Drosophila melanogaster: one gene and its partners. The protein of the gene in region 2 interacts with the protein of the main gene of each other region in a pairwise test. Each region holds a gene or a part of one and is shown on either strand. Other genes may lie near its edges. The genes, in order: Agpat4, Teh4, Prim2 and CG42288.

Region 1 (8,492 bases), about 12 Mb from region 2:
AATGTAAAAAATGACACCTAACTGTCATCAATTTTTTGCTAAACTGTTTGCACACTTTGGTCCCCATAAACCCACTCATTCTAAAGATTATTGACTTTCGCGAGCTTCCACTGTGAAGTGCGAGTATCTGCCCCATAATGACTATCCGTCGGACAGGCGGACTTTGTCCACAGCGGCTGTAGCTATTTCCAACGGAGAAGTCATCGATTGGCCAAGGCTGATTAGATTCCTCCTCCGGCAGCGGCCTTAGCAAAAGCTATAGCCTATAGGGCTATGGGCTATAGCTCCCGCTGATATCTGGCGAATATCTCTGCCGTGCGGCGGTTGCCCCAGTCCATTGCCAGCTGGTGGTGCAGGTGGTTGCCTTCCCGGATTTCACGATTTCTTTTAACTTGGCCGCGTGCTTTTAATTGAAGAAAACGCAGCTCTTGTGTGAGTGCGGGACCTTGTGTAGTGGTCATAAACTAGGTGTTCCACCGTTGGGACCATAAAGTGCGGGTTTACGAGCACTACCGGGAGAACAACCTACAATTAAAGTAGTGATTACGTAAAGACAGCCGTTTTATTGGTTAAACATCGCTATTTGCAGATCAAAATGGGTTCCCTGGAGAAGCTGAAACAATTGAGACTGATACACCTGTGCATCGCGCTCACCTTCTTTACCAGCGGGCTGTGCATCAACTTTATCCAGCTGCTGATGCACGTCTTTATCAAGCCCATAGACAAGCGACTCTTCCGCAAGTTGATGTACTATGCCTGCTATTCGCTTTACTCCCGTGAGTATATCCTGACCAGTTCCGATTCGAAGTAGAAACATAATACCTCCAATCCCTTAGAACTTATCTTCGTGTCCGATTGGTATGCCGGCAGCAAGATGACTGTCTACATGGACAAGGAGGACTTCGAGAAGCATGCCGGCAAGGAACACGTCCTTCTGATCATGAACCATAAATACGAGATCGATTGGCTCAACGGCTGGATGATCTGCGAAAAGTTGGGCGTGCTGGGCAACTGCAAGGCCTATGCGAAGAAGGCAATCCGCTACGTGCCCATCATCGGCTGGGGCTGGTGGCTGGCCGAGTTCGTCTTCCTCAATCGAAACTTCGACCAGGACAAGACCATCATCACCGAACAGCTCAAGGTGGTCTTCTCCTATCCCGATCCCACCTGGCTTTTGCTCAACGCCGAGGGCACTCGCTTCACTCCCGCCAAGCACGAGGCATCCGTAAAATTCGCCCAGGAGAGGGGCATGACGGTGCTGAAGCACCATTTGATCCCGCGCACCAAGGGATTCACCGCCAGCTTGGCACCCATCCGCGGTCTCTGTCCGGTAATCTACGACATTAATCTAGCGTACAGGCCCACAGATAAGGTAATTATAACGGCAAACTTCAAGCACTTCATTTAAGTGCTTTAGTTATATAATACTGTATTTTATTGTGCCATACATTTAATGCAGAATTCTGCATGGCAAAGCTTCTCATGTATATTTTTGATAAGGCTAATCAGCCTGTTCGACAATACCTGTCTGATTGCTTTGGTCTAATCAAATTTCTTTTCGTTTAATCCGATTATTTTGCTCATTTACTTCACTGCCTCTTTTAAGAGTCACGATTTCTTAAGATCGATGCTCTTAAAGATACCGATTAGAATGAGCAAACATTTCAAGGTTAATCAAGTGGTAATTTTTATAACTTATTTTCCTTATTTTGGTTTATTTTCCTTACCTTTGACGTGTCATCAGTATTATTAGCACTTTAGCCAGCATAGCAACCTTAATTTTTTAACTGAGTAATTTGGCGTTCTAATGATAAGTGCATAGAATTTAGCAAATTGCAAATTTATTATGGTTTTAAATTAAACTCGCAGAAGTGAGTTATAAAAGATGCTTATAAAGATACTACAGTTTTAGCTACTAAAAGGCTATTTACCGGACTTAATTAACTTGCAATTGAACTTTCAGACCCCCGCCACAATGCTGAGTTTGCTGCATGGAAAGAGCGTGGAACCGCACCTGCTGATGAGGCGTATTCCACTGGAACAGGTTCCGGAGGATGAGAAGGAGGCGGCCGCCTGGCTGCAGAACCTGTTCGTGGAGAAGGACAAGATCATCGATAGCTTCCTGGAGACGGGCAGCTTCTTTAAGACGTCCGGCATAAAGGAGGTTCCGGCATATGTGAATAAACGCCGGCTGTGCTCACTCGTGAACTTTGTCTGCTGGGCGGTATTCTCTCTGTCCTGCATTTTCTACTACGTGATCACATCCCTGCTGGCGGCCAACTGGACGGCCTTTATCACCGCACTTTCCGTCCTGGGACTTTGTAAGTTTGGGGTTCGATCTTTAAGGAGGATGGCACTTTAGACGGCATTAGCCGTTCATTCTTTAAGTTTTAAGAACTTTTTGGAGTGTTAAATGCTAAAGTTCATATATAATGACGTCTGCATGGTTATAACAATAATATAAGCCGCGTTCTAATGTGTTCCTACTCCCTCCAAAACCTTAACTTTTGTAAATCTTATTAATATTCTTTTTTTCTTGTTACAGTTTACTGGCTCATGGGTCAGGCCATCAACAAGACGCAGATCAGCAAGGCATCTAATTATGGATCCTCCAAGTCGGTCGCAAAGTAACTTTCGAATTCGCATTTAGTTTCGATTGTCGTCGAACTCAATTATCTACAAATGACTTTGTAAAAGGCAGTCCTCTCACAAATCTCTCTGCTAAATGGATCAATTCGTGATTCCTATCCGGACGATTTAAAGTGTTTTGCATGTTTTTCTTGTCTAAGTTTATAGTTACGAAGTAACTCCCGCACACTGGAGCCATCAATTTGCGTACGTAGTTGGTAGTTGTACACCTAAGTGGAAATTTAATTGTTTGATCAATTGTATTTTGGCGAGCATTGCAATAATTAAATTAAACAGAACGTGAGAGCGTGAGTTTGTTGTTGTTGTTTTTTGATAAGGCGTAAGGTAAGCAGTGCGCTGATAAGGGCTGCTGATAAGTGTGGACATGCAAGCAGTGCACCTAAAGAGTGACCTTAACACAAAATACCAACAGTATTTCTAAACTGGATACTTGAAAATTACACACATACGTGTGTAAAATAAATGTAAAATTTCGAATACATTGTTTTTGAGATTCCCAGAAATGCTTTCAAAAGTTACCTTTTGAACAGGAAGGAAATGAGCAATAAGCAAAGCATATTATCCAAATATTTGTGTTTATCAGCATTCTTCCTACACGTTCGTTTCTTTATCAGTTGTAACGATCAGAAGCAGCACACGTTCCGTTAGTTCGACTGCTTGCCCTTGGCTATATGATCAATACAACCACACGCCAAGCATAAAATCGCCTTTATTCGCCGATAAGCAGTGTCGCCCATTCCAATTGACTGATAACAGGTGATTAAAAGTGTTAGTTGTGGGTTTCTGGGTTGTACTATCGACGAGATCCATATCACTAGGGGCTCGGGCCGCCTAGAAGAGTCACTTTCATTCAGTCGAATTCTACTGGTTGGTAGAACAAGTTGCAACTTCCTGGTCTCTAATTGTTAAGATTCCGCTTAGATAGGTGAGTGAGTGTGTGTGTAAATGAGAAAGTGGACTGTCGCAAAGTGAAACTGAAACGTGTTGAGTTCAAAAACTAGTTGTACTTATGGCATTGTCATTATCATTGCTTCTACCAAATTTGATAAAACAAAATGAGGATTGTACAGCTTAGTTCGATTTTCCTCGTCGAACTATGCAATAAAAAATATCTTAGTTAATTATGAAATGCGTTGTACTGTTTTCCCGATCCAACGATAAGAATTCAAATTACTAGTGTCTACTGTACCAATACCGTGTGTTGCGCGTGGGTGTGTGTGCGTTTACGGTACTATAATTTAAGCATTTCAATTTTCATGACACATTGGGAGCAAAGTTTGAGTACTGGCCATATAATAAAATGTCGATATCGCGCGCTGGACATATTTATGAACTGCATTGCAGACATGACTTTCGATTACGTAAACGTTTCTCCAACGGACTGAATTTATTGAGTTGCGTCTATTCTTAGCCTAGGATGTCGCATCTCCGGGGTTTGGGGCGACTGCTGATCGCCGTGACCTTCTTCACATGCGGATTCTTCGTCAACATTGGCCAGCTCCTGCTGATTCTCCTCGTGAGGCCCTTCGATAAGAAGCTATCCCGCAGTCTGGCCTACTACCTGCACTACTCCTTCTATTGCAGTAAGTAACCATCATATTAATATAGATTATCATATCATTATGAGTATAAACGTTTCACATTTCATTCACATTAAGTATAGTGTAGTTTTCAGCACACTTCCTGTTTTCCTGATTAGATTAGGTATATGCAAGGTCTTCTTTTGTATAAATCACTTAGTTTTTACATTTGATGATTAAATGAAATAACGTAAAAGTGGTACTTTTTGATAATTTAAAAACTATCCTCACACTTTAGTCCTTGTCTGTGTGGCGGAATGGTATGCGGGCAGCAAGCTGAGGGTGTACATCGATCCCCAGGACGAGCAGAAGTTCTTCGGCAAGGAGCATGGACTGCTCCTGATGAACCACACGTACGAGATCGACTGGCTGACCGCCTGGATGATCACCGACAAGCTGGGCAATCTGGGAGGCACCAAGGCGTATGCCAAGAAGATGCTGCGCTATGTTCCGGTCCTGGGATGGGTCTGGTGGATGGCCGAGTTCATCTTCCTTGACCGCAACTTCGAGAAGGACAAGGTGGTGATCAAGACGCAGCTGAAGGAGGTCTTCTCCTATCCGGATCCCGTGTGGCTACTGCTGAACGCGGAGGGCACCCGTTTCACACCCGCCAAACACGAGCTGTCAGTCAAGTTCGCCGAGGAGCGAGGTCTTCCCCTCCTCAAGCACCATCTGATTCCGCGCACTAAGGGATTCACGACCAGTCTGCCCACCATGCGTGGCATCTGTCCTGCCATCTACGACATCAATCTGGCCTTCAAGAAGAATGCCGAGGTGAGAACTTAAGATCTCATATATATGTATATATATTTTAAATTACATTTTCGAACTTGAATTAACTTACAGCCAAAGCCCACCATGCTGTCCCAGTTGAACGGAGAGCCCGTGGAACCGTACATGTACATTCGCCGAGTGCCACTGGACGTGGTTCCCGATGACGAGAAGGAGGCCGCCGCCTGGATGCAGGACTTCTTTGCGGAAAAGGACAAGATCATCGACAGCTTCCACGAGACCGGCAGCTTCTTTAAGAATTCCGGAGTCAAGGAGGTGCCCGAGAAAATCTACAAGCCGCGCCTGAGCACGCTCCTCAACTTCTTGGGCTGGGCCACCTTTGCCGTCCTGTGCATTCTGCACTACTTGGTCACCTCGCTGGTTGCCGGCAACTGGTTTGGCTTCATCACGGTTCTTTCCATTTTGGGAGGATGTAAGTTGAGAAATTCTAGTTTCGAGGATATGTGCTTAACTTTACAACTTGTACTTCCAGTCTATAGCCTCATGGAATACGCTGTGAATGCTTCGAAGATCAGCAAAGCCTCTGCGTATGGAGCAGCTGCTGCCAAGAAATAGATTTTCATACCTGAGTTTTATAAACTCTGCAACAGTTTTGGAATATACGACCTATGGACTAATAACTCAACTGCACTGACCATAGAAATATTATGTACATTGAATATGTACGATAAACCATTGTAGTTAACTGAATAAAATAACATTTTATGCGAAATTCACTTACAGGAACTAAATGATTCTTAGAGGCAAATATTTAATATGTGTTTGTACATCCAATCGAAAAAATTTCTCACAAATTCACTTACAAGAACTAAAAGTTTCTTTGAGGCAAATATTTAATGTGTTTGTACATTAAATCGAAAAGATTTCTCAGTCTTCTACCACTTATATAAACGTCGTAGTTACAAAGTTTAAACTTCTTGTACTTTTGTTTTTCTAATTAGAACATGTGTTGTATATTTTAGCCATTTATACAATAAATGCTATAAAATTAGGTTATCGAATTTCAAATATAGATAGTGATGTCCAAAACGATAACTGCTTATCGCAATCAGCTGAGAGCGCCTAGTGCGACCCTTCGTGTAAGCAGTGCAGCAAGACATTCAACGTTTTCAGCCAGCTGGATTCAGTATTCCGCCGCTCGTCACCTGCGGTCATACTGATTGCAACTTCCCAAATTTCTTACAATAATCCAATGAAAATTAAAAAACATATTTTCGTACCTTTAATGCAATAATATGTGCATTTTGAAGGTGAGTCAGTGCAGCACCAGTGCCAAAAATTGCATTAAACCAAGTTTGTGCGAAATCCACGAAGCAGAGTGAAAAGTGAAACGTAACGAAAAAAACGTTGAGAGAGATTTTCGTGTAGTTCATTGTTTTTCCTGGGGGATTACTTGGTTTCAAGGACCTTTCACTGGCCTGTGGCCCTACTTTTCGAAGGTGCCATTCCTTGGGTTGGCACAACCTATAGGATACTGCCCGAAATTCCCTTTGTTCGCGTCTCGAAAGAAAGCGGATGCTTGATGACGTTGAAAGCGAGTTACGTTTGTGTCCCCCATAAAGGCAGTTATGCGTGTGTGTGTGAGTGGCTCTCTCTCTCTGGGGTCTCAAAAGGAATATTAGCGATCCTTTGAGCACTTGAAGATCCGAAAAAGTTCTCCAGGAAGTGCAACTGGGGTATAAAAATATATAGTTGCTATATATACATACAGATATACTTGCATGCGTGTACAAATGCCCTCGCACACAAACAGCAGCAGACGAGTGTGCGTGTGTGTCTGTGTGGGGGGAGCACGCGAGTGTGTGCGTGTGGCGACAGCTGACGTTGGGGGTAAGGCAAGAAGAAGAAAAAGACGAAAGCGAAACTTTTTACTGTGCCACTTTTGATCGTTGTAAAAGGAAAATAAGACTATCTTGAGTCACGTCACTTTCATCGTTACATCAATTCGATAATAACGAGCATATTTTATGGGATATTAGATCTTTACACGATTTACCCTTTTATAGATCGATAATTTAAGTATTTATAGGTGGGCTCTATACAGATCTTATTGTGATAGATTCCATTAAGACTTATAGATGTAGGCTGCCACAAGTCTGTTTCAAATATTATACTTCATTCTCAGAAAAAACTAATGTTTTCCATAAAGTTAAATCTGATAAGGATATACATAAATTGAATTACCCATAGAGCATATGTGTGAACATTTGTAGCATGATTTCTTTACCCAAGATAAGAAACATTACTCATTCATGCTATGAAATTTTAAAGGCAGTATTACTTCCGCCATTCCTACAATATATATGAATAGAATATGTTTAACAAGCCTGATTCGGGTAATTTGTTCCGATTTCAATATCACCAAGATTCCATTAAAATAAGATTTTCCTTACCTTTTGGCTTATTTTATTTTAATTGGTATTTTTATGTAATTTACGCACAGCATGCCGATTCAGGCTCCCTCATGGACAGATTTTCTGAACTGTCCCATCTGCTGCAATGAATTCGCGGCCAGCCAGCGATGTCCGGTCAGTCTGGGCTGCGGGCACACCATCTGCAAGCTATGCCTGACGACCCTCTACAACCGGCAGTGTCCCTTCGATCAGGTGAGTTGAACTCCATTTAAGTATTGCGCCAACCCTAAACGATCTGCCCTAATCTCTTTTCTCAGACCGTGATTGTCAGTGACATCGACAATTTGCCCATCAACCATGCCTTGCTCCAGTTGGTCAAGGACTCGGAGCTCCTCGAGCTGGCACCACCACCGCCCAGTGTGCAGAAGCTGGAGCCGGAGCACCTTAAGTGTTACCAACTGGGTCAGCGGTGCATCGAGGAGCTGGCTTTGCACTTGAAGTCCTTCCTCAACCTGAACGGAAATGGCAATCTTCTAACTCGACCCATGTTACGGAAACTGGTTACTCTGGTCAACTGCCAGCTGATGGAGGAGGAGGGACGGGTGAGAGCGCTTCGAGCAGCCAGATCCCTAGGCGAACGCACAGTCACCGAGCTGATCCTGCAGCACCAAAATCCCCAGCAGTTGAGCTCAAATCTGTGGGCTGCAGTGCGGACAAGAGGATGCCAGTTCCTTGGACCCGCCATGCAGGAGGAGGTGCTCAAACTGGTGCTGCTGGCCTTGGAGGAGGGATCAGCGCTTTCGCGCAAAGTGCTGGTCATGTTCGTCGTGCAGCGACTAGAGCCGAAGTTTCCCCAGGCCTCCAAGACGAGTATCGGACATGTGGTACAGCTGCTCTACCGCGCCAGCTGCTTCAAGGTGTCCAAGCGGGAGGCGGACTCGTCGTTGATGCAGCTCAAAGAGGAATTCCGTACGTATGACGCCCTACGCCGGGAGCACGATGCCCAAATCGTTCAGATAGCCACCGAGGCGGGTCTGCGAATTGCACCGGAACAATGGTCTTCCCTATTGTATGGCGACGTGATGCATAAAAGCCACATGCAGAGCATCATCGATAA
Region 2 (9,202 bases):
ATCGGCACATCGCATCTGGAAGAGCATCTATCTGGAGAACTGCTTCGGTGGCAACAACGAGACGGCTAACAAGTTCTCTAACTACGTGCCTCATTTGGATTTGCGAAATGTGTGCTTGGAGCAGCGTGCCTTTTATCGCATTATTTCTGGCCTGCACTCTAGTATCAACATTCATCTGTGCTCCAAATACCTGCTGTCAGAGTCAAAGGACTTCTTAGATCCGCAGGGCATCTGGGGTCCCAACGTAAAGGAGTTTAAACGACGCTTTAGTCCAGAAACCACAAGCGGTGAAGGTCCGCACTGGCTGCGAAACCTCTACTTCATCTATCTGATAGAACTGCGCGCCTTGGCTAAGGCTGCTCCTTATCTGCGGCGAGAAGATTACTACACGGGCATCGCAGAGGAGGATGATGAGGTTAAACTAGCCATCAATGATATGTTGAGTGTCATAGAGTGAGTATAGGAATATTCTTTTTTCTTACAATGTTTCAATTTAGCTTCTTTTTGTAGAAATTTTCAATCCCACTTCGACGAGAACGCCCTCTTCAGTAATGGAATCGCTTCTATTAAGTTCAAGCACGACTATAAGGAAAAGTTCCGAAACATATCCCGCATCATGAGCTGCGTAGGCTGCGACAAGTGCAAACTGTGGGGGAAGCTGCAGACGCAGGGATTGGGTACTGCTTTAAAGATTCTCTACTCAGAGAAGCTCAATCTGGCCACGGAAAGCGGGTTGTGGGACAAGCCGCACATCGAAGCGGATCCCATCTTCAGGCTGTCGCGAACAGAGATTGTAGCTCTATTTAATGCGTTTGGCAGGTGCGTTTTAAATGATAAAATGGCATTTCTAAAATACTTACATCTATACACTTGCTTGCAGACTATCCAACAGTATATACGAGATGGAGAATTTCCGGTGCGTGCTGAGGTAACCCATCCAGACTGGACTAACCGAGCGACGAGCCGGATCTCATTCGCCTCACATGAGCAGCTAGTTAATTCATACGCACATCGCTGGGGCTGCGTCTTGGACTTCCTACTGAATGCGGTTTCCCTCCCATAGTTCGTAACATTTTTGAGGCCAGAGGCTAGTAACCCCAGGATAGCTGCTTCCCTGTACATACAAACTATTACCCTAGGCTACTTGTACTTTAGCGCACCGTATCACCCTAAAAAAAACCAAATGACAAAAAAATAACCCATGCAGGATGCAGGTGTTTATTGTAAGTTAGCATAGTATTTATTGTATCTGGAGGAGTTTGTGAGCGGAACTTAATGAGCAAGTAAACGCATTGTGCAATACCAAGACCTTACGACACAAGGCGCTAAAATAAACTTCTGTCTGTTTTGAAACACCCTCTCTAACGTCTCCATCGATACGGGTCCTAGCAACCGAGTTGTTTGCCATTCCAGCTGTCGGCTTTTGTGACATTAGCAAATTGCTATCCAGTCGATCGACACTTGATTGCTCTTGTGACTATATTTTCTGTGCGAAATGGTGCTTCTTCAGGTGAAACGCGGAGACGAGCTTATCTTCCTCTATGAGACAAGCGTTAAGGAGAAGACTGATACTGTGCTTCGCGAGCTTGTGGCTCTGCACAATGGTCAACTGAAGATTCAGCGTGTCTGCATGGAGATTGAGGAGCTGGCCGAACATGGCACCATGGTGCCGCCTGAAATGATTGGCCTCAACGAGGAACAGAGGGAAGAGCTCAAGCTTAAGGATGTCTGGGCGGATAAGTGCATCCCGTCTGGTGGTTTCACTATCAACAAGGATCCGCTCCTTCGCCGTAACGGACAGCAGCCAACTGAGGCGATGCAAAAGGTCCTGGCAGGTGCCATGAACGACGCCAAGGCTATGGTGGATCGGGTAATGTCTCCTCGAAGTTTATCCCTAGAACTGTTTTTGCTAAATGGTTACCAACATTCCCTCTAGCGCTTAGCTAAATCCTCAAAGACCTTGACCCCAAAGATCGTTGAGGAGGCGTTGAACCTCCTGCGTGGTGGTGTCACTATTGTATATCCCATGCAATTGCCGCCCCACGACTCCATACGCATGGAGTTCACCAATACCGAGGATCTGACTGGCACCCAGGCCTCCAAGGAGGTCATCGAACCGTCCAAGGCTCAGTTCTGGTTTGCAGGACACCAGATGCTGATGGGGAAGCTAATGAGCGACTATTTGGGTCACAACGACAAAACCAAGGTAACTGTCCCTTTGATATCCTAAATATATTTCCTTCATAACCCATCCTAATACTTAACCAGGTGGTCGTGAAGCTAAATCAAATTGGTGAAGGACCACCGGGACGCGAAGCCGTGATCTCCGATCCCTTGCGTCGCCAGATGATGGCCGAGGCCTATCGCCGCCAGGAGGAACTCAAGGTAGGACCTTTGCTTTGTAGAGAGAATTCCAAATGGTGTTTTATTTGCTATAATTCGAGTATAAGTATATCAGATATAAGTAGGTACTATTGCTCCACCGGTTAAACTAGTTTAAGAAATCGCTGAATATTGCATAGCTACAAAGTCGAGAGTTAAGGCGAGTCGGATGCCTATATCCTTGGTCTGTCCTGGTGTTTTCTTCTTTGGTTTCGTTCAGCAGATGTCAGTTGGTTTATGCTATATACTCTATATAAATGCAACTATGTCTAAGGCCCATCTGCTGCAACGGTTAGAGTGGGGATCGGGTATATAAAGCTCGGCCATCCCATCGTTGTTCATCTGGGAGCTATATGTCCAGTATTTATATATGTGTGATTATCATTTTTCAACCAAGCAAAGTAAAGATCCGTTTCATTAATCTGTTAGTTGTTGTAAACGTTGTATAAATGCGCTGATTAGAATTTAAATTCAGTTCCCCTTGTACAATGCACAGGTCCTTAAAGTTTGGTGCTGTTTTGTATCCTTCTTTCGATGCGGTTAATCCGCTTATAGTATGACTAGTGGTTTCTCGGGAACATCGCACGTAGTTGCTTTCTCCTGATCCTGGTCAAAGATTTGATCACTAGTTCCGGATTCTCCGACGGGACTGATTGGTATCAACGACTTGGTGCTACCGATTAGCTCTTGGTTGTCCAGCGGAAGTCCGTGGTCCGATAGTTCTTGACCATCCACCGCTTGGTGCTCCAGGTCAACTACATCGTCGTCTGTATCGTACATCTGATCCTGCTGCTTGTTTGCTAGTCCTGGGCCAAAGGGGCCATCATTATCTGAATCATCGCCGGCACAAACACAGCGCATCTTGGCATCGTCACCCACCTGAAAAAAAGATAGAAGTATTATATAGTAAGATCAATTCATCTGATTTCTTCTCGAAGTAAGCCACCCACCTTGACGGATTTGGTGATGATACATAACGATATAGATGAGATCACAAAGAGCACAATGGGCACAATCAGCGAGACTAGAAGCTCCCTGTAAACCTTGTCCAAATCGTAGCGTGCAACCACAAACTCCACATTCGAGTCCTGTGAGAGGTAATAGAAACGTCAGGTAAACTGATACCAGAACTGGAATTCAAATGGAGTTTAATCCCCCACAAACCTTGTTATAGTAGCACTGGTAGCGTGACTGGGCGGTGTTGTTATCGCCATCGTTGCCATAGCGAGCCACAAAGTCCTTGCACTCCCCACGCAGTGTGTTCACGCAGCCCTCCAGGTTGATGAACAGTTTCTTCCAGCTGTAGATGGTCAGGTTGGCCTGGTTGGGCAGGTACCTCTGCTCGGGATCCACCGACCTGGTGCTGTTCTCATAGATGGCCCAAAACTGGGTGAAGTTCATGAAGGGAGCGGGCAAGGTGTCATGTTCCAGGAGGGTTCCATTTATGCAGTCCGTGGCACTTTTGGAATAACAGATTGTAGGCAAAATCTTTTTCGATGCTTTTAGACTTACGTGATGCGATTGTCCGACTCTCTTGTGACTGTGGCGCAGTTGGTCAGCAGGTTGCCATCATCCTCTTTCCAAAACTCAAAGGGTTCGATACGCACACCGTGCTCGGATCCTCGGGCTTGGTTGAAAGCCACTGCGTTCTCACAATCGGCGGCAATAAGATTATCCTCCTAAAAGTATTATGGATTTTACTTCCATTTTATATAGTTATTTTTATCCTTATTTCCAGCTTACGTGCATAATAAGGGTGTTCACATTGGTAGTTGTTATCTTGGAACAGTAGCGATCGCAGCTGAAGGGCTTCTTGATCTTGGTGCAGTGCACCCCGTGACACTCGAAGAATCCATTCAGCTTGGTGTTATCCTTCTGCGAATTGACCGTAAGTCCATCGGCTTTGTGGTGACACAAGAAGAACTCCGACATATTCTTGCAGTGTCCTGCAAGGTGAAAAGCAATCAGTAATTGAAAATTCACATAGGGGGTCTCCAGTATGGAACTTACCATTGGAGCAGTTGAAGACGCCTCTGATATTGTTGCAGGCGGTGCCGTTGTTGCAATTGAACTTGTTCAGCCGACTCAGGTCAATCTGTGGGGAGAGAACAAAAGAAGGATAATGGTCATTTGTTGATCGTTAAACTCTCGTGGCGCCAAGTGGCTATTAAAATGGAGGGGCAAATACTTGACACGCTTCATCGTCTTTCCACCAAAAGCAAAGAATGAGTCATGGCAGAACTTTTCCTATAGCAGGATGCCCAAGACGATGACGTCTTCTACTAGTTTGCTCAGTTTAAGGCAGTGCTACAGTTGGTCACAAAAGTTAACCAGTTGTTGCTTAGGAACCTTTCACCTAAGGGAAATGCTATAAACTTACCATGGCGCACGATGTGTTGGTGACTCTGGTGCAGTTGTTCAGCTGGATATCGGTGCCGTTGCGACGCACTATTGAGTGGATCTGGGGGCAAAAGCCACTGGTCTTGGTCAGGCACCACTCGCCGCAGGATGCCCAGGGGCAGTTGTTGGGCATCTGGCGATCCACCGTCTGGCACATGACGGGATCCAGCTCGAAGCCGGACTTGAAGGCCCTAGAAACAATACCAAGTTATGAGTGGGTTATGGGTTTTAGAGGGGGGCTATAAAGTAGGTACCCACTTTAGGGAGGGCGAGTAGATGGCCACGCTTAGGTAGACGATGGACACGCAGGACAGCACCATGGTCAGCTGGCACAGGCAGATGGCGCGACAGATGCGCGCATCCTGTTCGGGAATCACCCGCGGTTTGTCCTTGCGCCGCCCCATTTATCCACCTGGTAGTGGTTCCTGGGTGTGGGTTCAGTAGTACCTAGTGCTCGGCTAATTTACGACTTGTTGATTTGGTGGCCCACTTCCGGCCCTGCTCCACCTATGTATTGTCACCCTACGCCGTTCTCAAGGTGATTCCTTTTGGGTTTGGTGGGTGGTGGTTGCTCGGGTGGGTGGGTGGTTTGTTTGGGGTGGTGGTGGGTGTGTTTGTGGCTTGTGCCGTTCTATTTTATTTAGCTTGGCTCATTGGAATTTAAAATTACTCGGACGTGTGGGGTGGGTTAGCGATATGTGGAATGTCAGGTGGGAATCTGGGACGTCTTATGTTCAAACGCCGACAAGGCGAGATTCAACCAGTTAACGACTTGTTCAATTTGTTCTTCATTTGCGGACGGAGTTGCCACCTAAATCACTCGGAGCTTCCAGGGTTGCGACTCACCCTTTCACGCATTTCATTGGAACGTTTGTTTTCGTTTATGCACACGCGTGTTGACACTTTTCATGAAACGCAGTGCGTGAAAAGTGCATCGCATAAACGCAATAAATGTTTGATGGATGCGTTCTGATGGCTTGAAGTCGCCTATTTGGCCGATTTTCGCACGTCCACTCCCGACGGCAACAGAGTCCTGACTGAATCCCGGAGCGGAAGGAGTGTGGATAGCCAGGACTGCCAAAGGACACTGCGCACTTTTACTTTTTCGAAAGCGAAAGCGAAAGTGGTGGGGCCCAGGCCAAAACAAGCCCTTGAGTGAAATGGAAAAAAACCGGGACAGGGATGGAGCCAGCTCAACAAACGGTTCCGGATCCTGGGAAGCACGCCTGCGCCTGGAGAGGATGCCCTCCACCTCATTTGTCCTCGTTTTGCGCTACTCTCTCCCCAAATTTCGTAAATGAAAACAGCTTTGGGTTTTGTTTAGCATTTCTCCACATTTGTTTTGGTTTCTTTCATTTTTGAATTGTTTATTAAATAGGCCGTTAGCTGGTTTAATTTGTTTATTGATAAAGACACGTTAAGTAAAAAATTTTAATCGTTTTGCATTCAAATTGGTTTGTTCTTCGGTTTGGTTTGTATGATTTAAAAAATTCTCATAAGCAACGTGCGTTATATCGGTTCTGCTAAGCTATATGTATACGTATATATCTATATATATATATAAGTTTATATATATACTGTTATAATCCGTTTAGATGTTGGTTTTTACATAAGATCGTTAAAACTATTTCAAAAATGTTGAGAGTGTCCCAATGTGAGCGTGTGTGAGTGAATAATTTGGTTCCGCTGCTTATCCCCAATGGATTGTATCTGGTATTTTGTGGTTAATCTATCTTTCTGGGTTTATTTCGTTTTGGAGTTCGTACCGCCCCGTTTTTATGAATCTTCGCCGTGTTTTGGAGCGGCCTGGAGCGGATTCGGTTCTATACAATTGTTTGTTTGATTGGTTTCTTTGGTTTTCGCTTCCGTTTTAGTTAGTTTTACGAATTTACTTAATATTTTTATGACTACTATCACAATTTGTTGAAAACAAGCGACTCATTAATTGGTATTGGTATTATCTCTGTGAAAATCGAAGTCGAGATTGGAGCATCGCTGCCGCCTCCAAAAAAGCCATTGAAGCAACCAAATTTCCATATAACTAGCATAACAATATGATGGCAAAGTGTATGTTAACAAATCTCTTGAGCGCACAAATGTTTAATAAATTGGCTGAGAAAAAGTGACTCCTTCGGCGATGCTCCGCTTGATTTATATATATATGTATATATCGTCCGATGTGATGGCAAATGGAATTCTATATGCTTGTATATATATATATATATCTAGGTAAGCTATGTGTGGTACAGACTACAAAGTTGAATTTGCTATTTGTTAAGGGCGTTAACTAATATTATTTTTGCTAGTATTCCATATCATCATCTTCGTCACTGTGACACAGAAGTTTGCTAGAATTGGAATGCGATTGGAACAGATTTCTTAATCAATGCTAGTCAGATATAAGCGGTATATATATTATGCTAAATAGATTGGGATAAACGGATCATGCCATTCTAGCTAGTTTCGAAATTAACAAACATTCATTAAAGATCAAAAGAAAAGCATGCAAAACATTTTCTAAAGGCATTCTAATATAAGATCGTTAAAACTTGAGGGTATTCGATATGTTATTATATCATTATTGATTATAGAAAAAAGGGAAATGCTGCGATCCCGAGTGTTAACTAAATTTTGTTTTAGCCTGAAAGAAACCTTTTGTTTTTATCTGTATTGCTTGAGCCTAGACCTTTAATATTTTGAGTATATTTCTTGTGATTTTTGATTGTATATCTTCTTTTTTTTTTGAGTGATCGTGTGTTTAAAATTCCTTTCGAATGGTGTTTTGTTTTTGTGCGATAAAGAAAACAAGACTACTATTGGAAATATTAAGAAAGGCAGTAATTGCTAAGGACACTTCAGAGTAACAATTTGTATTGGGCTTCAAATAGATGCGGGTGTTTTTTTTTTTTCAGTGGACTAGCTAGGACTGGGTGCCACACAATATGTGCAAGATATCTGGATCGAGGGATCCAGGGATTATAGCAAATACCATCGCACTTAACCTATCACAATACATTTCTGGGGATCAAAGGTCGGGCACTCGCGCTTTAGTTCATATTCAAAATACATTCAAGGACAACGACTTTTCCGTGTTACATTTCATGCAGTTAACGATCCTGAAAGTAATATAGAGTAGTAAAGAGAAGATAACAAAAGCTAATAGAATACAAAGGCTTTTGGGAAGTAAATAAACTGGAAAACTAAGAGTTACATTCATGGTTCGACTTATGGATCTGGCCAATTTCTTAACAATTAACAAAATGAAGACGTTACAATCATAGGAGGAGGATACAGCATGACAAAACGGAATTTTTTTTTGGTTCTCGACAATATCTTCATACAAGGCACAATGAGTACATGGTCCATGGATCTGAGTGAGTGTCTACTACAATATACAGATACGAATACGAATACGGGGAATTCAAATTTGCCAAACTTTTCGCAATGAATGAGAACAAGATGCGGGACAGCTGGTACGGAATAGCACTCACTCTTCCTTGGTCGGGAACTTCTCGGCGTAGACCCGCGAGGATTTGTTGCACGCCTTCTCGCAGCAGGGGCAGTACCAATAGCTGAGCACCCCGATCGAGATGGCAAAGAGCACGTTCGGTATGATCAGCGAAAGGATTAGGTGGTACAGATTGTTCTCCCACGAGTACCGACCGATGACCACCTCCGGATACGCCCTGCTGTAGAAGCAGGGGAAGGGCTCTCCGATGTGTGAAAACCTGGCAAGGATTAGGGTTAGGACTCTCGTTGTCATGGCTACTATTCATATGCGAACTCACCCATATTGCCTGGCAAATATACTGCAATTGGTCGTGGGCGGATAGCCACAACCCTCTGAGTTGATCAGAAACTTGGTGTAGCTCACATCCCAGTTGACCGTGTCTAGGTCCCGAGGATTGCGCTCCCATTCGCTGAACGGGATGCGCGTATAGTTGACAAACAACTGATGGCACCTGGACATAAGAGGAGTTAGTATGTAGATATAATCAGGCATATCGATACCCACTTGGTGAGTGATGATGTGCAGCCCTCGCGGCAGGAGCTCCAGCTGCAATTCTTGATGCCCTCCGCGTAGATATGGTCGATGACGATGCAGGTCACCGGCACTGGATCATAGTCGGCTATGATCGTTGAGATGGCGGGATCCACGACGAAGGGTATCAGGAAGAGGAATGTGAACACCGACAAAATGGCAGTCGTACCTGGTGATTTTGAAGAATGTGAGTTAGATAGGATATTCAAGAAGTCAATTAGCAACAGCCATTCGTAATCTTACCAAGGCACACGGAGGTATAGAACTTTGCCTTCTCGAGCAGCGTGTCCATCTCGATCTCCTCGCGCTTGGCCTTGATGGCGTCCACGCATCCGCTCCCCGGCCGCACCGGTGATTGGCAGGCGGAGCGCATCGAAC
Region 3 (7,355 bases), about 16 Mb from region 2:
ACAACGTGCAATACGAAGATATATCTAAACTACATGGCGCCTAGCTGCGCTTTTCTAAGTTAAATTCTATAGTTGTACCTTTTTATGCCTAATTTGATATATATGTAAGTAAAAAATCTTAACCATTTCGGAGAAAGGCTGAAATCGAACTAGACAAAAATCTGCACATAATACGTTCGTTACTTAAATTTGGACTGCTCAGCATTTGGGTTAATAAAACATGACTTTTTAATGAAAATAACTAGAACACTCTCATTTACTCAGTGTACGAATATTTCAGTGGGTATGCAAACAATATTTTCGAGTTCAGTTTGGGAACAATAAAACCAGCGAACAATGGCCGCTTTACTAGCGATAATTTCTATACTTGCAAAACTTAAACTAGTTCCAGCATCGGTGTGCTAAAGAAGGGATATGAGGATTCTGTGTGGCATTGTTATCCTATTACGCCTCGGAGCATTGGGAGATATAGCTGTTGACGAAGAGGGAAGGTTGACGCGAAGCTGGTGGGATGCAGTGCCTAGACTTTTAACTGACATCGCCACCATTAAGGCGAACATACTCACAGCTGCTCCACTTGAATTGGCTTCCAACATAATTGATGCTGTGTGTAAGGATAACGTCCTGTGTTTATCAACATATAAAAAGTTATTTGATTTTATTGTGATCTAAATGCCAGGTTCTTCCACCCTCTTTATGGACAGAATCCCTGCGCAAATCACTCCGGACATAAGGAAGATGCATTTTCAGTACATGACGCCGTGCCAGAACTACAGTGTGCCCCTGCTGGAGGCCTCGAAGCTGTGGAAGCACTCTCGATTCAGCAAGGGACGTAAGGTGGTAATTCTGGCCACCGGATGGACCAACACCGTAAACGAATCCTCGGCCATTTCGATGATCTCTAAGGCATTCATGTGTCGTGGCGATGTGAATTTTGTGGTTCGTCTCGTGAATCAATTCTGAAAGTTCATATCTAAGGCTTCCATCTCAGATTGTAGATGCGGCTGACTATGTGGACACCTTCTACGCGTGGTCGGCGCTGAACACGGATTTAATTGGAGAGCATATTGGAGTTGGTCTGACCCACCTTATAGAGCTGACCCCACTTCGAAATATTCACTTGATTGGTGGGTTCATAAAGGAATCCTTTGTGTCCATAAATTCTGGTTCTGATTTCTTTGTAGGACATTCACTAGGAGCTCACATTATGGGCACTGCTGGTCGGACTTTTAAGAAGCTTACCGGAAAACTTATACCCAGGATAACTGGCTTGGATCCGGCCAAGCCATGTTTCAGGCGGGAAAAGATTCTGCCAGGATTGACGCGTGGCGATGCCAAGCTAGTGGACATAATCCACACCAACATTGGTATTTTGGCCAAGCGTGGACCCCTCGGTGATGTGGACTTCTATCCCGGCGGAGCACATCCCATCCAGCCAGGCTGCCTAACCATCGGATGCTCTCATACCCGAGCCGTTGAGTATTTCGCCGAGAGTGCATATCCACACCAAGAGAAGAACTTTATGGGCAAGAAGTGCGCTTCTTGGGATGAGCTAAGAAAACGGGATTGTTCTGCTGGCATAGTTTCCCCGATGGGCTATCGAATGAATCCCCAAGCCAGGGGCATCTACTACGTAGATGTCAATGGCTGGCCCCCTTACGGCCGAAACTCGGAGAACACTGTTGATCCTAGGCTTAAAACGTGCTACTTGTGCCGGAGGTGAAGTCCGAACCATGGAATAATATAACTTTTCTTATTTACGATGCTTAAATATATATGTACCTTAGTTAATTTATGTTGTACAACGTTTAGTAATCGATTTGCGTAAGATCTAGATCATCATTGAAGGCCTCGGATATGTCCTTTTGGCTCTGCATGATACGCTCCTGGGTTTCCGCGATTCGCCACAACTCATCGTCATCGTCACCCATCAGCATGGACCGATCCCCATGGCCCTTGATATCTGGACGGATTCTGGCCTTGGGCGGAGCAGAACCATTGGCGCGCTTCTGCCGGTTGCCCATCGCTATCTGGCTCTCCTCGAAGTAGTTGTTGGGGTGATTGATGCTCGGCTCGACGGGTGAATTGTGGGTAAGTTGGAAGTACTTGCCGCATCCAATTTGATAGTGACCGCGGGACACAAAGAACATCACCTCGTCGATGGCACTGGCTGACAGGCCATAGGAGGACAGCTTGGTTTTCAACGAGCCCTGATCCATGTTCTTATACGGACAGCCGTGGCAATCGCCCGGCCCCGCCACATCCTTGATAATCTTGGCGCACGAGTAGGGTGTGTAGTTGACCATGGAACCCTTCTTTCCGTAGTTATGGTAAATATTGTACTCGTAGCTGCGTGTAAACTTATCCGCGTCCATTTTCTTGGTAAACTCTTCGCGCCAGAAGCGCAGCGAATCCTCCAGTGCCACGCCAATTCCTTTGAGAAACAGGCCGTATTGCATTCGGCCGCTATGTTTTATGTGATGGTTGGCACGAATGTGCTCGTGGCACATGCGCATACACAACGGCATGGAGGTCTTGGAGAGCTGATCGAGCGACTCGATGGGCACAGCTGCATCCCGACAAACGGTGTAATCCCTACCGGTATACGAGTTATGTAGAGCTTTAAGTGTGCGGGAGATGCGCTCGTCGGCTTCTACATCCTCCACCATAGTCTTAGCAGCCTGCAGGCCTTGCTCGATCTCGTCCTGCTGCTTGGTGCCCACTAGGGACACCAGGTCGTGGGTGTTAACATAGGCGTAGCCAGCCTTTAAAAAGCAGCGACGTCCGCGCACCAGATCGAGCACCTGGGTGAAGGGCACCTTGTAGAAGTCCAACAGCTCGATCTTCGCCACGCTCTGTCCGACCGTGCTCTCGTACAGGCCGTCCTTGACTTCGTCCTTCTGGGCCTCGGTGAGGGGGTGAATCTCAAAGCCGTTGGCCTCAAGGAACTGCTTCACCTCGAAGCTGCTAAGTGCAGCGAATTTGTACCGGAAGAGCTCCATTTCGCGGGCCACGAACCAGCGCGCAAGGTCCTCGGAGCGGCAGTAGGCCAGCCGCAAGATGAAGTGCGAAAGATAGTCCCGCCTGCGGGTCTGGATATCCGCCTCGTGCTTGGCGCTTCCGCCGGTGGAGCAGAGCCTTAAATAGCTGCGCAATCCCTCGCGGGTCAGGTCCGCACTCACGATTTCCTTCCATTCATCTGAGAGCACGCGCAGGTTCCGGGTGCTTGCGCGATCCAGGACGCGGAGAAGGCGCAAGCGCTCTAGAGCCAGCTCCTCGAATTCGTCTATGTGCACGTCCTCCGTCGGCGGATAGTGGTACAGCATGACGTTGTGCGGGTACTTGGTTTCCAGGCTGGCCACCTCCACCTTCACCTCATGTCTCGCGCGTTTCTTCAGACCAAACTCCATTGTGAGTCGCGGGAATTGCTATAGTAATTTACAATTTGTGGAATGCCCGTTTGTTGTTTTGGCGCGCAAACTACTGATGGCAAATATCAGCTGTGTCAGTTGTTATCGATAGTTTTCTGCTCATTATCGATGCTTGCGGTTTATTCAATTTGTATTTCAAAATTAAACGTTTTTAATTGTTATTATCAGTCAATTGGTACTGATGTATTGATTGTGTGTTGCATTGTTAGATATTTCTTAGGCCTTAGCTTTGTTTACATAGTGTCCAGTAGTAGTAGGTTATGTTTAATATACGACGCTATTGCCTTTGTTAAGATATTTCAAAAACATCACATAAGCTCTTAAAAACCTAAATACCTTTATTTATTAATATATGTTTAAACTATACTTATGTTCAGCAGCAAATTTTGCATATTACTATGATTACTGTGGGGAAACTTTCGTCTTCATGAAAGTGTAATTAAGTAGTTTATATACTATATCAGGTACGTGCACAACTGACTAGAACTCTCCGGATAAAATTACATGTTTTCTAAACACTGATCTCTCTGGAGTTGATCCCTATGACCTCCAGGGATCTCTTCAGACGTTTCCAAAACAGCTTTCGATCCTCCTTGGCCGTCGGCCACTTTATATACGTTTTCACATCCATGAGATATTGCAAAGTCTTGGGTCGCTTTCGCCGTGGAATGTCCTCCAGAAAAACCAGGATCAAGTGCTCCTTGCTGACCTCAAAGATGCTACAATATACACACATATATTGATTTTAATATTTGAATTTTACAGATAAAGATTCCTTACCGATGCTGTGCCAAATACATTTCAAATTGACACCAATGACTCAACAGGAACTTGGAGGATATGATCAGCATAAGGGAATACGAGCGATCCATGCAGGAGATGATGTTATCTAGGATGGTCACTCCAATCTGCATGTGAATTAAGGGTTAAGGTTTCACTTTATTAGTAAGTTAATGTTGTAAGATAAGTACGCTTCACCTGAAAATCTCTTTCATGCAGACAAATGGACACATCCCCAGTTTCCTCCACGTTCGGCAGCAGTTCATTGAGCACCCAGGTCCGATCATTCTGGCAGTAGCTGATGAAGATATCGTAGACGGCACTGGGATCTCTCTGGGATATGTTTGTGAATTTATTCACCGACTCCTTGGACGCACTGGACAACAAGGCAGCGGACTTCAGGGAAGAGTAATAGTAGTGGATGTGCCAGCGCTTCAGATAAATTATAAATCCCAGGATGCAAGCGCCAACTAAGCTGCCCATGACTGCGATCACTGTGTTCGTAACGTGGTGCAACTCCTCGGCGAGGTCACTCATCGACCTGATCTGGCAGTTGAGCTCATCCACCTGGAGCTGATCGGTGTTGTTGAAGCAGTAATACTGACTGGCCTCGTAGTCGAGCAGCTGAAATTTTAGGGTAAGATCTCCGTCAAGGTCCCCTAAGTGGTATGGCTGGGCCGCGGAGCACTTGGCTACCATGTAGTCCTCGGAGGAGAAGCGCAGCTTGATTATATGATTCGCGCGATTGAACTCCCTGATGTTGGAGTAACTTCTCTGCAGCCAGGGAATATAGCGACTCTGCCATAGCTTGCGATCTATAATTAGTGACTCCGCCAGAGATATTACCTCCTCACCTACGGCATTCTGACTATAGTTCAGCAGTCTATAGGAGCAGTCTGCATCTTTATTATTGGCGGCCGCCACCTCCACCACCGCTCTCAAATGGCAGTCGCAAATAAAGTCGTTGTCCCCGAGACTAAGGTAATCCAATCGCTCAAAGTCCTTCAACATCTCGTTGGACAGCATGTTGATGGTGTTGCTTCTCAGGTTCAAAACCCTTAGGGCGGAGTTGTTGTGGAAGGCACTGCGGTACCAATTGCCCACATGGTTCGAGCTCAAGTCGAGGATCTCCAGGGACTCCAGAGACTGAAACATGGCGGGAGTGAGAGCGTTGATGTTGTTACCCGCGAGGCCCAACACCTGAAGGTTCTTCAACGACTTGGACCACTCTAAATCCTTAATATTCGATCGCTCGAAGTACAAATACTTCAGAGTGTTAGCGATGCCATCGAAGGCGTCGTCGATGATGTTGTAGGATAGGTAGGGGTTTCCGGACAAGTCGAGGCCCTCCAGAACCGTATTCTTGAAGATGGTACTGCTCACCATGGGAATGGCAGTGTAGCACAGACTGAGGAACTTCAGCTTATCCCCCAGATGGGCAAAAGCCACCGCACTATTCCTGGTCATTTTCGAGTGGGAGAGGTCCAGGTAAATCAGTTCCGGCAGATATTTGAACACGTTCTGCTGGATCTTCAGGCCGTATATCAGGCTTAAGGCCATTTCCAGAGTGGGCAACTGCAGTTGGTAGCTATAGGTCAGGAAGTTAGTGAAGGACAGGTCGAGATACTGCACTCCCTGGACGTAGTAGAAAGTGTCGTGGCTTATCGTCATGATCTTGTTGTCCGACATGAAGAGCCTCCGCAGATTGCTGACATTCCGGAACGCCTCCTTGCTCACGTACTCGATGCTGCAGTTGCTGATGTCCAGCTCCACAAGTCGGGGCATCTTTGGAAAAGTGGCCCAGGCTATAGATTGGGCTGGGAAACAGATAAGGAATTCACGTGTTAGAAGTATTTATGGCATGATATTTAAAAATTAAACCCTTCCTCCTTAAGTTACATAGTTAGAACCTTTTAACAGATATGAAACCAGGAATATGGAAATGACGGATATCAAGTTGTGATTAAATGTGGCATGAGGACTTTTAGGAAAACGTCTTTGCTGTGTAATTGTGTTTGCGTTGAGATCTTACATGAACTTCCGTGCTGATCGAACCGATCTTTTAAGACCTTAATAAAGTTCGTATAGTTTCTACCGGTTGTGATTGATTGTCCCATGTTTGTGTTGTTGTTAAAGTATAGATAGCATTCCCGATCATACAGATCGGTGGTATTGTGTAAAAGTAGTAGTTCACAATGGTGTGGTACCGAGTTACTAGCCTCCAAGCGGGACTCGTTTACAAATCGAGCAAAGTCTGAAACGGCGAATGGTAACTGGACATCAGAATACGTGTGCCATTGCGTTTCCGGTTCCCACAACTGACTAAATGGTCAATGATCTAACCCGGCCAAGCTTACCTTCAGCATCTGGAATCAGTTCAGCAAAGTTATTTCCTCGCAGCGATAAAAGCTTCAAGGATTCCCTCATGGAGTAGAGCGTCCTGAACGGAGCTGCAGTCAACGTATTGAATGCGGCCGAGAAGACTTCTGTCCTCCAAATGGTAACCTTCCTCGAAAGTTTCGCTTCTCGGAATAGGTCAGAGTCGTCCTTAAGATTACCGTGGGATAGATCCAAATACAATTTGTGCGCTTTAAATAAGTAATTAAAGGTACGATCAGAACCTATAAATTATAAGTGAATCTACCATATTCAAAAGTGACAGTATCGGATACTATGGGGATAAAGGCTAAGTTCAAAAAGTGCCGGGTGTAAACATTCGAAGAGATACAATTTATTATCGCTAAGATCCATATAGTTGCGAGTGGCTTTGCCAAATCCAGCCCAAGCTACTACACTCAGAGAAAAGACTGTTCTCAACGATCTTGATATGAGATTTTTGATCTTAAAATCTAGCAAGGATCAAATCATGCTCATATCGAGATCGAACCGTTCTCAGATTGCAAATGACTGGTCTCATTTGCCTCTCTCTCTCTCTCTCTCTCTTCCACAATTTTAAACCCGATACTGCTTCCGCCAAAAAATATCAACATTGAGATCGTTTTCGTCTCGAAATCAAGAAGGTTTCTTCTAATGAGCATGATTGATGCCACTGAGTACGCTGAACACAACCGATATCGGTATTTTTTTAAATTTCTCTGGGTGTAGTAATGCAGAGCTTTCACTGATAAGGGGTTCCATAATAAT
Region 4 (6,558 bases), on a different chromosome or scaffold from region 2:
CTTATATAGGAGAAGTTAGTGAAGCGCCGAAGATTATTTGGGATCCGCTGAAACTATCAATATTAAATCATACTGAGGAATTTGAACGATTGAATAATGAAATTAAATTTATGAAAGAGAACCATCAAAAATTGAAAGATTTACATTTCCATCATATTTCCGGACATGCTGGATTAATTATTGCTTTAATACTAATGATAGTATTAATAATATATTTCATACGGAAATGTGCTGTGCAACAAAGAATGCAAGCAATAACCTTTGCAGGTCCGTTGCCAGTACTATAAATATCAATAGTAAATAAACAATAAAATAATATAACAAATAAAAATATACAGTCCACTATATCGTTGTTTAATAGAAAATGTACTTCTACATAGAAAAAGCAAAATGTTTAAAATAAGTTAATTGAGTACAAATTGTTGAATTAAAAATAATATAAACCATAATTGTAATCCAATAAAATTAAAAGCCAGAAAAACTAGGCCCATTGAAATCTTAGTTGCAAAATAAATGAACATATATCAAATAAATACAGTCCACTACTGTTATAAATGCAACTAATATACTAATGTACATCTCAGCTTGCTGGCCCTTTGGCAGAATGTTCACACATGAACACGAATATATTTAAAGACTTACAATTTTGGGCTCCGTTCATATCTTATGTAAATGAATCGAGAGCGATAAATTATATTTAGGATTTTGTTATCTAAGGCGACATGGGTGCATTGCTCAAAAACATGTAATTTAAGTGCACACTACATGAGTCAGTCACTTGAGATCGTTCCCCGCCTCCTAAAATAGTCCCTTAGTGGGAGACCACAGATAAGGTCCTCGCCGCTCAAGATAGGCAGATGTGCCCGAGCGTGGGACCTCGATAAGGCGGGGACTATTTACTTAGGCCTCTGCGTAGGCCATTTACTTTAAGATGCGATTCTCATGTCACCTATTTAAACCGAAGATATTTCCAAATAAAATCAGTTTCTTACAAAAACTCAACGAGTAAAGTCTTCTTATTTGGGATTTTACAAGCACTTTTAAATGCTTTCCTTTTTTCCACCTTTTTCTAAAGCCTTTCATTTTGTCACAACCTTTGACTGCAAAACCTTTCATCTTTCAGACAGAGCACCCACAACTTTTATCCTCAATTAGGATTTATCATTTCCCGCAAGCGATTTCCATTTTACACTAGTTTTCCCCCATTTCCCGCCATCTCCGTCCCCCGCCCTTTCGAAATGCCAACTCTAACTAGTTGAATGCAATCAACACGCTCGCAATTAAATGCGACAAAGTGCAGACTTGCAGATGTGGTTGTTGCTGCAGTTGGTGGCTAACCCGTTCCGCCCACAGTTCCAGTTGCCTCGACATGTCCCGCTCCGCCCGCTTTTCCGCTCCATTTTCCGCCCCCCCCCCCCTTCCTCCTCCCCAACACAAAAGCGACAACTGTCAGCGGGTCTTTGGCACACATTTACATGCCTCCAATCCTCCACCCACCGTGTGGCACCTCCTCCTTTCCAGCTAGCGTGTGAATTTAATTTGTGCATAATTGCAATTGCAACTGCCATTGCAGTGCTGCAGCCATAAAATGTCAATATCAAATTGTAATCATCAACGAGAAATGTTTGCGGCAGCCCAAGTGTTTTCTTTTCACTCTGACAATTTGTTTTTCCTATTAGATAGGCCTGCAGACATGAAAAGGGGCTCGGAAAATCGGGCCAATTGCCGTCTGACTGATATCATCAAGTGCGTAGGAAAAGTGCAGTGGACAGTTTCGAAAAGTAAACCAATTTAAAAATTAAGTGCTGGGGAAACTATTTTATGTTGTTGTCTGGACTTGAGCAGGCTTTTAATGGATTGCAATTTGCATATGTGTACTAAATTTATGCGAAAATATTTAGTGCATATGAAAGTGGAGTGAAAATTAATAGCTTCATTGGGTAATGCATTATGATTCGGAAAGGAAATATTATACATTATAATATATTTTATTCTTATACCTCTAATTTGATTCATTTCAGAACCATCATGCGCCAGACTCAACGAACGCAGCACAGCGAAATGTCCAAACAAAACGGATTCCAACAGCAGAAGGCCGTAAAAGAAAGCCAAATAGATTGGCAATAAAAAGTTAGATAAATTAACTTAGTAGCTCATCACGCCCAAAGGCAAATCACTTTGAAGTGCAACCAAATAAGGAAAGAGCAAATTAAGCGAATAGAACGGCTAGAAGGAGATCTCCCAGTGGAGCGGGAGTAGCTTCGTTTTTTTTTCGTGGACCGTGCGATAGAAAGCCGTCAAAATTACGACATACCACCCACCCACGCCCAAAGTCAAACAGAACCCGGCCAATACGGACGCCATGTCCGGGTCGGGTGCGTTTGACGATGAGCCGCCGCCGGAGCCGCGGGACGGATGGCTACTGGTGCGCATCCATGTGCCGGAGCTGAATGTCTACAAGTGTCTGCAGTTCCCATCGGAGCGGCTCGTTTGGGATGTCAAGCAGCAGGTGCTCGCCTCGCTGCCGAAGGTAAGTCGGTCACTGTCATTACCACTGCGATACCCATTGTCTTTTCGGTGTATATAGAGCACGGGCATGTCTCATGTGCGCTAAATACTCACTAAACGGGGAGAAATATGTACATCCGAAATGGGGTCTACTTCACATAGTATGGAGTTCTGCTCAAGCGAAATTATGATCTGTATTTCTGTATCCTACATGCATTATTTTATTAGGCACATCAAATGCTTGCTCAACATACTAAAATTTGTAAATATCATTATTATTACTATTATTACACATAACCGGTTTCCAGTTCATCTTCGTAGGCGAAGAGCAGTTCTATGTAGTAGGACCAAACCACCAGCCAGGCATACACTAAAAGTACTATAAAACATTAAATAGTATACTTAATTTAGGCTTTAGATTCATGATTATTGGGGGTACCCACACATTGTGATGACAGTCAGGATGATGATGATGGTATTAAAGCTGTAAACGGTCAGGGCAAAAATGTGCACAATTATCCAAATGGGTGTGAAAACCAAAAATGGCAGGAAGAGCATCTCGTTGTTCTACAAAATTATGAGGTATTATAAGCATATGCTAAATATATTGGGAATATTTATAATAGACAGATCACATACATTGTGCACTCCCAGGCAGAGCATGGCCGAAACTATGATGCCGAAGAAGGAGAAGACCATGGTGGCCTTGAGGGCCGCCGGTGCTGGGATAAGGGACCTCTGATACTCGTTCGGAAAGATGCACTCCATCATGAAGCCGGTGCCGATGGTGATGTAAATGAACCAGGTTAGAAAAATGCATCCGAAGAGCAGCACACCGAAACGCAGGGAATAGCAGTAGCAGCACTTGGTAAAGATCTGCTTCAGATATTTGCAGCGACAGGCCATGATTGATCCGATCCTCAGCCGCACTGCAAGTTTTAAACAACAATTTTCAAAGCTTTCCTGAGAAACTGAAATTTGTTGAAAATCTAGTTTGTATAAAAGGGACACACTGAAAGAAGTAAACTAGATCAGTTAAATTCAGTTACACGTTAGTTTAACATTTATTTTACAACTCATCAAATTGAATCGTCAGAATCCACACTGCTCAAATATCGATAAAAAGCCAGCACTATTAGCAGGGAATAAACGAGACCAACTAGGGGGTATGAAAATCAAGACATTATTCAGACATATTCAATCAAAAATGGCCAACACCCACCTATGATGAACACCTGAACGGCCAATATAATCGGCGAAGGTTTCGACCTGGCCAACTGGACAACGGCCATTAGGAAATATAGGGATAGTATAATTGCATAGATGATAATCCACATAAGGACAAAGCCTCGCTTGCTCTGCATTTGTAATGTTATAAAGCATTAGAATCTTGAAAGAAACCAATTGAATCTCTTACCTTCGAAGCAGCATACACAAGGAGTATAGAGCTCAGAGTTCCAATTGTCAGGATCGGAGACATGATGACGGGTGCCCACCATTTGTGGGACACTTGCTTGATGAAAATGGTGTCATCCGAATGCGTTATCAGCTCCCCAACGTGAAATGTTATGAAGATGGCTCCAATGATTATGCAACCCACGTTGAGGGGCAGGAAAAAGCAGCACTTTTTAAAAAACATGCCGCTACAGAAATTTGTGATTTTTTTTTACATGAATTTCGCCCAAAACAACAGAATGCAAGGAACAGTTGATCGTAAAATTTTTGCGTTAGTTATTTAATATTTGAATCAATAATAATCTTGCACTAAGATTAAGGATCAAAATCCTTAAAAGACACAAATTCACAATCAAACTAAATGCATTTTGCATTGAATCACACAAAAAACCAATTACTGTGGAATCGCAATGCAATTTTTCAACAGATGTTGTTGATTGAAATTTTTATGCAGCCAAAGGCTGACACGTGCCCTTACAACATAAAAACGACCACGCCCCCTCAGCCGCCCTCGAATGGCTGCCAAATGGCCCTCGTGAAGTTTCAATTTTTGAAGTTCAATGCAATTTATCGGCAACTGCAATGTCTGAGGTCGTGCGCCCAGTTGGAAATCGTGACGCTGCAGATCCAAAGATATTTGACAATTGAATGGCAGTCTGTCAAGGGGAGGCAAAAAAAAAGTGTCAGTCACAAGGAAGGTTAGTTTTTCAATGGCCAACAGATTAGGAGAACTACGTGTTAACATATTCACATATGTTACTTAGTTTGAAATATGAGTAAATGCGTGGTCAGGGGGTCAAGATCAGCGGTTATTTGCCCTTATAATGCCGTCAAATTACTCACCGAATGAAAGGCACTTCCCCGCTCCTTTGTGCTAATGAAAGCCAAACAATGGTCAATCAATTGTATACATTTAATCGCAATTTGTTGAGCAAATTGCTGTCGAAACATTGTCAAGCGTAAATGCAATGCGGGGGCCTCGCCCAATTCAATATTGAAACCGCAAAATTGCAAACGGAAACTCTGGGCGATACCCAAACTGAAACCGAACTGGATTTGAAATCACACTGGTATCGATTCGAATCGAACTGAACTGAACTGAACTGAAATGAACTTCGCTGAACCGAACACAATGACCTCCAGCTAATTGCATGGCCGGGTCTTTCGTGCCGGTTCCGTTTTCGTTTCGGCCAATTCAAATTCAGCGCGTCAAGTGACAGACATTGCCTTGTTTTTGGCTTTTTGGCAAGGGGGCGTGGCCGCTCTGGTTCCACTGTCAGCGTGCAGCTTAGTAAATTATGTTGTAAATTCTGATCGGTTGTGTGGGAACCGAAAGCTGAGCGTGCTTTAACCATTTTTTGGGGATATTTGTTTGTGGGGAATAATATCCTGAGTTACATAAGCATGCAATGTGAATTGCGATTAAAGTTTATGGAAGCATGTTGTTTGTGTTTTGTTGAAAGATAGCAAGGGCTAATTAAGTTGTTCATGCTGCAAACTAAAGAATATGACATCATTGGAATAACTTAATCCATTGGTTTGGGAAATCTAGCATATTCCCTTTACTTATTCCACCTGAAAGCATAGCAGGTTACCAACAAATTTCCTGCTTCCCCACAGTCGTATATCAATCAGTAAACTGGCCGCATATCTTATCGCATGGTTTCTCTTGCGACCGAACATAGAACCCTATATAGACCGTCATAAAGAATACAATTCATGCTATCATCGCACAAATATTTGCACTCCAATTGAGGCCTCTTTCTTTGCACTTTTTGCTCAACCATTTGTGAGCCTTCGATAACTGAGGAATGGTTGAGTAAATCCCGAAGAGACAAACGAGAGTGCCTGTATAATTTCCCATTTTATCGGTCGTCGTCGCCCATTATCGGGACACCTGACGATGGCGTCGGGTTCCATAAATGTATTATTGGGTCTGGTGAGGAATTCGCTTTCAATGACCGATCCGCGCTGCTCATGCCAAGCTTCAGTGAAACTTCACACCATCAATCAGTCAATCTGTCTGTCTGTCAGTCAGTCAGTCGGACAATCAGTCACTTCGCCAATATGTCGCTGCTACAGTTCGCCGTTGAGTGTTAGCCCCACTGGCATCTCAACTTCCGCCTGCTAATCAAAACGAAATTAAAGCTTCTCTGATCTGTATTCAATGGATTTTTCTTCAATTTCTGGGTGGGCGTTACTTACCGGTTTGTTGTGTCTAAGTCGTTTTGCGTGTAATATTCAACGGGCTTTGTTTGGCCCGAAGTTCAGGTTGGTTAATAAACAACTTTGGCTCGTGGCGATAAGAAACCAGTAAGGAAAGCTTAGCCGCATATGGACTACTCGGTGGCTCATTTTATTTTTTTTTGTGGTCTAAGGTGGCAATGGAAAATACGTGTAGGGAACGTTTTGAATGGAATTACGATAAGTGAGCCACATGTAATGGTAATTGAAAATATTCCAACTGTTCTATAATTATCTTGAGTTTAAGAAGCACATCCATAAATACTTGTTTAATATACTTCAAAGTACTTCAAATACCTACCTTAAGTATAGGGCGTAGTCAAGACTTACACAAAGTTTATCTTAAATTTT

What was found.
Region 1: the proteins of Teh4 (region 2) and Agpat4 interact in a two-hybrid assay, tested with the Drosophila melanogaster proteins (one large-scale study listed by BioGRID).
Region 3: the proteins of Teh4 (region 2) and Prim2 interact in a two-hybrid assay, tested with the Drosophila melanogaster proteins (one large-scale study listed by BioGRID).
Region 4: the proteins of Teh4 (region 2) and CG42288 interact in a two-hybrid assay, tested with the Drosophila melanogaster proteins (one large-scale study listed by BioGRID).

What each region holds. Positions count from the first base shown.
Region 1 is NT_037436.4:16,376,211-16,384,702, reverse strand, and holds Agpat4 (1-Acylglycerol-3-phosphate O-acyltransferase 4), read left to right. Parts: upstream 1-3,132; 5' UTR 3,133-3,405; intron 3,406-3,521; exon of another isoform or gene 3,522-3,574; intron 3,575-4,060; exon of another isoform or gene 4,061-4,065; 5' UTR 4,066-4,066; coding exon 4,067-4,232; intron 4,233-4,467; coding exon 4,468-5,003; intron 5,004-5,075; coding exon 5,076-5,433; intron 5,434-5,493; coding exon 5,494-5,576; 3' UTR 5,577-5,729; downstream 5,730-8,492. Other genes in the region: Agpat3 (1-Acylglycerol-3-phosphate O-acyltransferase 3), read left to right, coding at 590-776, 837-1,372, 1,964-2,321, 2,546-2,631; roq (roquin), read left to right, coding at 7,466-7,627, 7,693-8,492.
Region 2 is NT_037436.4:4,172,458-4,181,659, forward strand, and holds Teh4 (tipE homolog 4), read right to left. Parts: upstream 5,814-9,202; 5' UTR 5,187-5,813; coding exon 5,041-5,186; intron 4,974-5,040; coding exon 4,763-4,973; intron 4,478-4,762; coding exon 4,393-4,477; intron 4,329-4,392; coding exon 4,126-4,328; intron 4,062-4,125; coding exon 3,895-4,061; intron 3,842-3,894; coding exon 3,547-3,841; intron 3,471-3,546; coding exon 3,333-3,470; intron 3,262-3,332; coding exon 2,932-3,261; 3' UTR 2,402-2,931; downstream 1-2,401. Other genes in the region: Ero1L (endoplasmic reticulum oxidoreductin-1-like), read left to right, coding at 1-453, 511-819, 881-932; CG18675 (uncharacterized protein), read left to right, coding at 1,496-1,870, 1,937-2,206, 2,269-2,385; Teh2 (tipE homolog 2), read right to left, coding at 7,841-7,898, 8,274-8,510, 8,571-8,744, 8,798-8,993, 9,068-9,202.
Region 3 is NT_037436.4:20,358,098-20,365,452, forward strand, and holds Prim2 (DNA primase subunit 2), read right to left. Parts: upstream 3,489-7,355; 5' UTR 3,411-3,488; coding exon 1,809-3,410; 3' UTR 1,736-1,808; downstream 1-1,735. Other genes in the region: kin17, read left to right, coding at 1-44; CG5665 (uncharacterized protein), read left to right, coding at 415-610, 680-939, 992-1,723; Toll-9, read right to left, coding at 3,943-4,150, 4,212-4,339, 4,410-6,028, 6,244-6,465, 6,569-6,799. UniProt on the Drosophila melanogaster protein: Regulatory subunit of the DNA primase complex and component of the DNA polymerase alpha complex (also known as the alpha DNA polymerase-primase complex) which play an essential role in the initiation of DNA synthesis.
Region 4 is NT_033778.4:14,087,965-14,094,522, reverse strand, and holds CG42288 (uncharacterized protein), read right to left. Parts: upstream 3,493-6,558; 5' UTR 3,415-3,492; coding exon 3,148-3,414; intron 3,076-3,147; coding exon 2,952-3,075; intron 2,888-2,951; coding exon 2,796-2,887; 3' UTR 2,709-2,795; downstream 1-2,708. Other genes in the region: CG42287 (uncharacterized protein), read right to left, coding at 3,588-3,667, 3,731-3,866, 3,926-4,147; prosap, read left to right, coding at 2,363-2,530.